2 linked regions of the Coturnix japonica genome follow. The protein of the gene in region 1 interacts with the protein of each later gene in a biochemical or structural test. Links are inferred from orthologs where the notes say so. Each region holds a gene or a part of one and is shown in the gene's direction. Other genes may lie near its edges.

Region 1 (2,719 bases):
CTTCCTTTTTTTCCTCAGTATATCCCCTGTGTGATACAGTGGGATGTTTTCCCTGCCCAGTCAGGTATTCTCATTTTGTGTGCTTCATTACTCCAAGACTGCAGCTCTTCCTGTCTCCCTCCCCCAATAAGCAAGAATGGGAGCCAACTTCAGGGAAACAAATAGGGGAAATTGGACTTGACATCCTGTCGTGGGCTGCAGAACAGTGCAGTGAGAGGATGTTGTGCAGCTGGATGGCAACAGCAGATGCTTTCTGTTGTGGATTTATTCGGGAGTCTGGTTCTCTCTGTGAGTTGCTGCTGCAGACTCAGCCTTTTGCATTGCTTGGGGCCCAAGCCTGCAGGTGCTGAGCTAAACAGAATTTCCTAAGAAATGTGGTTAAGGCGAAGTGCCATCCCAAAGAAGCCCCTGTGGGCAGTTGTGCTGGCTGAGCTATCTCGAGCAGAAACCAGACCTTTGGGCCAAGAGTGGGGAGTGGCTGCGTGTTGACCCAGCTGTCACTGTGTCTGTTCTGGCTGCTCCAGCAGTGATGTGTTAATCCAGCCATTGCTTCTTTGCAGACTGGGGTGGATGCTGCTGGCCTCCCCCAGTACAAAGGGGAGCTGGTGGTCTCCATGAAGTACATCCCATCTTCCAAGCACCCTGGGGCTGGAAATGGCAGAAAGGGTGAGTGCTGGAGCTCTGACAGCTCTGTGTAGCCTGGGGGCTATTCAGTGCCCCCTACAGACACGTTGGAAATTCCCAGTGGTGAAAATTGATTAAATCTTGCTATGTTGTTTTGGATTTTCTTAGGCAAAGCAGGAGAAGGTGGTGAGCTCCAGGTCTGGATCAAAGAAGCCAAGAACCTCACAGCTGCCAAATCAGGGGGCACGTCAGACAGCTTTGTGAAGGGGTGAGTGTGGGTACTGGAGTGGGAATTTAAGGGAGATGGAAGTGAAAGCTCTGCTCCCTACTTGCATTCCAGAGCATGTCCTGAACCAGAGTGGGGATCTGGGGAAGGGAAGTGTCCTGCATTTGTACCCCCTGCCCATCTGTCTGTTCATCTCTTAGTAGTGATGAATCCTGGTAACAAACACTTCTCTGGGTTTTGGCCAGCTGAGAGGAGCTGCTCAGGGACCAGGAGGGCTGTGGCCCATTACTCATGATTGCAGACTGTGCAGAGGGGTCCCCTGAGCTGGGGAGGTGGCTGTTCTCTTTCTGTAGAGGCCTGGCCCTTCTCTCAGGCTCAAAGCTGGGAGCCAGGACTGGCTGCTCAAGGAGATGCCCTCGAGTCATCTCAGAGGTCACCAAGCAGCTGTGACTTTGGCAGTGCTGGTGTGAGGGCAGTTGGTCTTTGGTGTCTCCTGTGTGCAGATTGCTTGCAGCCTCCTGGGCTTCTGGGAGACACCCACTTCTTTCCAGACCATCATGTCCCATCTTCTCAGTCCTGGTGGGGACAGGTGGGATCCAAGGCAGACATCAGACCAAGCTGCCTTAGCTTCCGAGGGAGAAGTTAGCTGCATGTGTGTTGCTAACTCCAGTGGGGATGCTTTCCCCAGCTACCTCCTGCCACATAAAAACAAGGCCTCCAAGAGGAAGACGCCTGTGGTGAAGAAGACCCTGAATCCTCATTATAACCATACCTTTGTCTACAATGGCATCAACCCTGAGGACCTGCAGCACATCTGCCTGGAGCTCACTGTCTGGGACCGGGAGCCTCTGTCCAGCAATGACTTCCTTGGAGGTGTTCGCCTGGGTGTGGGCAATGGTGAGGAGCTCTGGGGGCGAGGGGCTGAGGAAGGCTGTCACTGCGGTGGGAGAGGCCCCACATGGCTCCCAAACCCCTGGACAAGTGCTTTTGCCTGGAGTCGCCTCTCTGCTGCAGAGGTGCTGCTCCCATGCAGAAACAGGCTGTAACTAACTTATGCCCATCTCCTTTCTCCGAGGCATGAGCAACGGGCAGGCTGTGGACTGGATGGACTCCACGGGTGAGGAGCTGAACCTGTGGCAGAAGATGCGCCAGTACCCAGGCTCATGGGCAGAGGGGACACTCCAGCTCCGCTCCACCATGGCCAAGCTGAGGCCCTAGGCAGCAGAACAGGCACCAGGGCTCACCCTGGGGCTTGCACAGCTGCTGTGGAGCTGCACTCACAGCATGGCCAGATGAGTGCCAAACTTAATTATTATTTTTTTGCCTATATTTTAATAAACATGACCCTTCTTTAAACAGGCTTGGGCAGAAAGTCTTCTTGGCCTAGCTTCTCTTCAAGGGTTTTCCTTTTGTTTTAGGAAAACCAAATTTGGACCAAATGTAAGGCTGAACTTGAGCCCTTGTGGGACCTCCCTTCTTTACCCACAGGCACAATGCTTTGCAATGTGGTTAGGTTTCCTTTTTCCCCTCCAGTTCTCTCCCTCCCACCCTCTGTATTTCATAACCTGCTCCCTTATTGTCTCTTCCACCCTCCTCCCAAAGGACAGTGCTGGCTCTGGGACCCAGGGGCAGAGAATAGACCAGTTCGTGCCCCAGCTGTTCAGTCATAGGGAACACTGGTGGGGCCATGCTGAACTGACCTTTTTCTACAAATTTATTAATTTCAAGGTGATATTCTACTGCCAAAACATTTCCCAGGAAGGGTGCCACGATGCTGGGTGTAAGGAGAAGCAAGTAGATTATGAGCCTCTGTACTGGATGTCTGTTACTGTCTTTGCTGAGCATGGGGCCATTTGCTTCTAATGAAGG
Region 2 (4,183 bases), on another chromosome or scaffold:
GTCCGTCCCTCCCCACGCTGCTTTTTGGCGGTGTTTTTTAACAGCGCTCAGTTATTCTATTTAATATTCCTAGGCTGAAACTCGTGCTGAGTTTGCTGAGAGAACGGTTGCCAAACTGGAAAAGTCCATTGATGATCTGGAAGGTACGAAATTACACATTCCTTTTCAAATGGGTTTTGTATTCTGCTGGGGAAGGACAGCCAGGTGCCGGCTGTCCGGGCGGGCCGTGCAGGGCTGGTGCTGCCTCATGGCCAGGGAAGAATTGCTCTGGAAGGGGTTCTCTATCAAATCCTTGTGAACAATGAACTTTTGTTGGGCCAGCTCACAAGCTTAGAATCGTAAGACCCATTTCAATCAGTAACAAAGTCGTGATGCTCTTTAGCCCGATGGCTGAGAAATAACTGAGATCTGTAGATGAAGTGTCTGACGTGGCAGCTGCCCATATTTCTGTATTTCTGCTTCCGCACTGCTGCTCCATCATAGCTCTGTTTTCTTTTGTATCCCCCTCCAACTGCTCTGGTTGCTGCCTTCTGCCTGTCCTCGTGCCCTCTGCTGTCCGCCTCTCCCCCTGCGCTGTTCTCTGTGCCTCTGCCTGGTAGATGAGCTGTATGCTCAGAAACTGAAGTACAAAGCAATCAGCGAGGAGCTGGACCACGCGCTCAATGACATGACCTCCCTGTAGTCTGCACCTCTCGGTGCTCCGTTTGCTGTATCTCTTATGCTCTTCTTGCCTGTAATTCCTTCTGTGCTAAAAGCGATCCATCCTTCAGCCTGCTCTGTAAGAACTGCGCTCAATAAAGATCAGATGCCTTTACCTGTCCGCTTTGGGGCTTTGTTTCCTTATCAGTACTGACGCTGTAAGTACCGCTCGGTGCTCAGCGGGGGGCGCCGGGCAGCTCCGAAAAACCGGAGCAACCGCAAACCCGACAGCGCTGTTGTTTCCGGCGCATCGGGCGGTGTTTGTACGGCACAGCAGCGCAGCACTGTCCGCTTTACGCCTTTTTTTTGCTCCCTTCCTCCAGACAAACTCGCTCAAGCGAAGGAGGAGAACCTGGGGCTGCACCAGACGCTGGACCAGACACTAAACGAACTGAACTGTATATGACCCGGGGAACGCCGCGGCCGGAAGACGAAACCCGCCCTCATCGCGTCACCGCTGCGCTCTGCCGCCGCTCGTCCCGGTTCCGCTCATCCCGGACGTGGCGTCGCGCATTAAACGTGTTACACGTGTTCCGCCATTCCCGCCGCTCCGCTCCTTGCGCCGCGCCGCCTCTCGGTGACGTCACGAGCCGACAGGCCACGTGACGCTGCCCGCGCGCCCCGTCCCCTCCCTCCGGCTTCTACTCGCGCGGAGACGGGCGCCTTCCGCTCGCGGCCGGAAGTGACGTTGCGCCGGGAGCGCGCGGCCAATCGCGGTGCCGCTTACGTCGCGAGCGGAGTCCAATGGCGCGGCGGCTCGAGGTCCCGCCCACCGGGTCGGCGGTGACGTAACGCTCCGCTCGGCCAATCGCCGCGCTGCGGGCCGTGATGGGCGGCGGGCGCGGCCTGTGAGGCGGCGCGGGGGGCGGGCGGTGCCGCAGGGGCGGCGCCCGGGAACATGGCGAAGACGTACGACTACCTGTTCAAGCTGCTGCTCATCGGCGACTCGGGCGTGGGCAAGACCTGCGTGCTCTTCCGCTTCTCCGAGGATGCGTTCAACGCCACCTTCATCTCCACCATCGGTGCGCGGGGCGGCCGGGGCTGCACACAGCGCGGGGGGCGCTGCGGGCCGGGACGGGGCTGTGCCGTGCCGTGCCGTGCCGCGCCGCGGTGCCGTCGGGCCGTGCGGTGCCGTAGTGCAGTGCAGTGTGGTGCCGTCGGTCGGTGCGGTGCTGTCTGTGTGGCGGTGCTGTCTGTGTGGCGGTGCTGTCGGGCGGTGCGTTGCGGGCCTTGTCGCTGCGCTCGGTTCGGGTCCGATCCCGCGGGGCGCTGCGGGCGCTGAGCCGCGGTTCCGTCCCGGCCGTGGGGACGCTGTGCGGCACAGTCTGGTCGGGGGGAAGCGGAGGGAAAAGCGTTGGTTTGTCCTCTGTAGAAGTTAAATGTAATGAGTTGTTTGTCGTTGCAGGCATTGACTTTAAGATCAGGACTATAGAGCTCGATGGCAAGAGGATCAAGCTGCAGATATGGTGAGGCTCGTTGATGCAGTCGGTGCTGCAGTGCAGTGCTGTTACTTTGTGTGCAGTTGTGCTCTTCAGCGGTATCATTAAACTAAAGCAGTTTTAGTGCACGTGAAGACCAACGTGTGACATGAATGTCTGACAGCATTAAGGTGGGAGGTGTGTGACCCCTCGTTCCATCTGTTGCAGGGACACCGCCGGGCAGGAGCGATTCCGCACCATCACGACGGCGTACTACAGGGGAGCCATGGTAGGAGCGCGGCGCAGGGCGGTTCGGCTCCCAGCAGAGCAGTATCAGAGCAGCCTGCAGTGCTGCAGGCACAGCTGCCTGGACTTGGCTGAGCGCCGGCGCTGTGCTGGGTGCTGGGAGGGCCCGGGGCAGACGGCTGCAGTGACTCACTGAGCTCACACCCCATCATTGCATCTGGCAACACGCGCTGACGTTCCGGGTTGTGCTGAAACAGCTCTTCTTTATCAGTCCTTAAGGCACTCCTTTCTGTTACAGACAGGTTTAACTGTTGCATATATGATCATAGCCAAAACAAGTATCTCTCCTTCCTCCTCAGGGCATTATGTTGGTCTATGACATCACCAATGAAAAGTCTTTTGAAAATATTCGGAACTGGGTCAGGAACATTGAAGAGGTAACTTCTCTTTACTTGACATTCAAGGTGCTGTTTCTCCCTCCAAAAGCAGTTGGAAATTAAATGCTTCAGTAACACTTCTTTCAAATTTAGAGTGGGTAGAAAATAGATTAAATGAAAGTCAGGGAATGCTGTGGGTAACAAATTTGCAGTGTGTGCTTTTGATTTGATTTTCCTGGCACAGAGCTGATGGTTCACAGGGCGCTCACAGAGCAGTCGGTGCCTGCAGTGCAGTGCTGGGATCAGGTGCTGTGCAGGAGCTCAGAAACCTACAGAGTGCTCAGCACCCATGTATCCATTTGAAGTTCTTGATGGAAACCTCGTCATTTGGCAGTATTTGTAAGACATAAACACAGTCCTTTCTTTCCTCTGTTCCTATCTCAGCATGCCTCTCCGGACGTTGAAAAAATGATCCTTGGGAACAAATGTGATGCAAATGACAAAAGACAAGTTTCTAGAGAGCAAGGGGAGAAGGTAAGTGTCACGGGCTGCGCCCAGATGCTGAAGGTGAAGGCAGTACGTAGAAGTCAGTGCTCCCTGGGGTGATCAGTGTCTGCAGAGCCTGCTGAGCTCCTTCCTGCCAGCACTGATGCAAAGTGCAGTTGCTGCCTGAGCAGAAGCAGCCTGTGCTGCAGTGTAACAGCAGCGCTCATCGTTGTGTGTGCCTCCTCAGTGGAACTTCTGAGTGCAGCTACCGAACGCTTCCCAAGCTGTAGCTGCAGTCCAACAAAAAGATGAGTCTGTTCAGAATGCAGCTGGGTTACCTGGTTGAGATGTTAGATGCGGAGTAACTGAGTTCTCAGCCAAAGAAAGAAAATCATTTAGGAATGGCTGCTTTTGTCATACACAGGTAGGCAGGGTTGTTGTTTCTGGCATCGGATGTCAGTTAAAGTAGAGAATGTACTTTTATGTACCACAGACGTTACAGAACTGACAAGGTATCTGTTAGAAATAGATGTATGTATTTAAAGACAAAGGAGCAGACAAAAATGTGTGTTTTGTTCTATGAAAAAGAAGAACAAAGTCCAGTAAGAACAGATGCTGATAGCAATGCAGCTCAGTTCCTGGTTTGTGGAGGAGATCCCGCGCTGTCTGTTATGTTTATGGCTGTTCCTGCAGCCACCCGACTAACACAGAACCTGCTTTTGTTCAGCTTGCAGCGAGTTTTGGAATTAAATTCATGGAGACCAGTGCAAAAGCAAATATAAACATAGAGAATGTAAGTACTGCGACCTTTCTCTTGTATTTATTGTCTTATAACGCGTGAAGATAAGCTGTAAGAACAGTTGCCCATCCTGACTGAGTGCAGAACTCAACTGCTGATACTTCATATGGGCTGTTACAGTCAGAAGGGCAGATTATTGTTAAACAAAGCTGTTAAGA

The links. The genes of interacting proteins can lie anywhere in the genome.
Region 2: the proteins of SYTL4 (region 1) and RAB8A form a complex in vitro, tested with the Homo sapiens proteins (2 studies listed by BioGRID). The link is inferred for Coturnix japonica from reciprocal best matches to the Homo sapiens genes SYTL4 and RAB8A.

Annotation. Positions count from the first base shown.
Region 1 is NC_029519.1:4,996,712-4,999,430, forward strand, and holds the end of SYTL4 (synaptotagmin-like protein 4), read left to right. Parts: intron 1-560; coding exon 561-666; intron 667-792; coding exon 793-892; intron 893-1,538; coding exon 1,539-1,747; intron 1,748-1,925; coding exon 1,926-2,068; 3' UTR 2,069-2,210; downstream 2,211-2,719. UniProt on the Homo sapiens protein: Modulates exocytosis of dense-core granules and secretion of hormones in the pancreas and the pituitary. Interacts with vesicles containing negatively charged phospholipids in a Ca(2+)-independent manner.
Region 2 is NC_029543.1:3,483,448-3,487,630, reverse strand, and holds the start of RAB8A (ras-related protein Rab-8A), read left to right. Parts: upstream 1-1,367; 5' UTR 1,368-1,597; coding exon 1,598-1,721; intron 1,722-2,104; coding exon 2,105-2,165; intron 2,166-2,345; coding exon 2,346-2,406; intron 2,407-2,722; coding exon 2,723-2,800; intron 2,801-3,184; coding exon 3,185-3,274; intron 3,275-3,953; coding exon 3,954-4,019; intron 4,020-4,183. Other genes in the region: TPM4 (tropomyosin alpha-4 chain), read left to right, coding at 74-143, 600-682. UniProt on the Homo sapiens protein: The small GTPases Rab are key regulators of intracellular membrane trafficking, from the formation of transport vesicles to their fusion with membranes.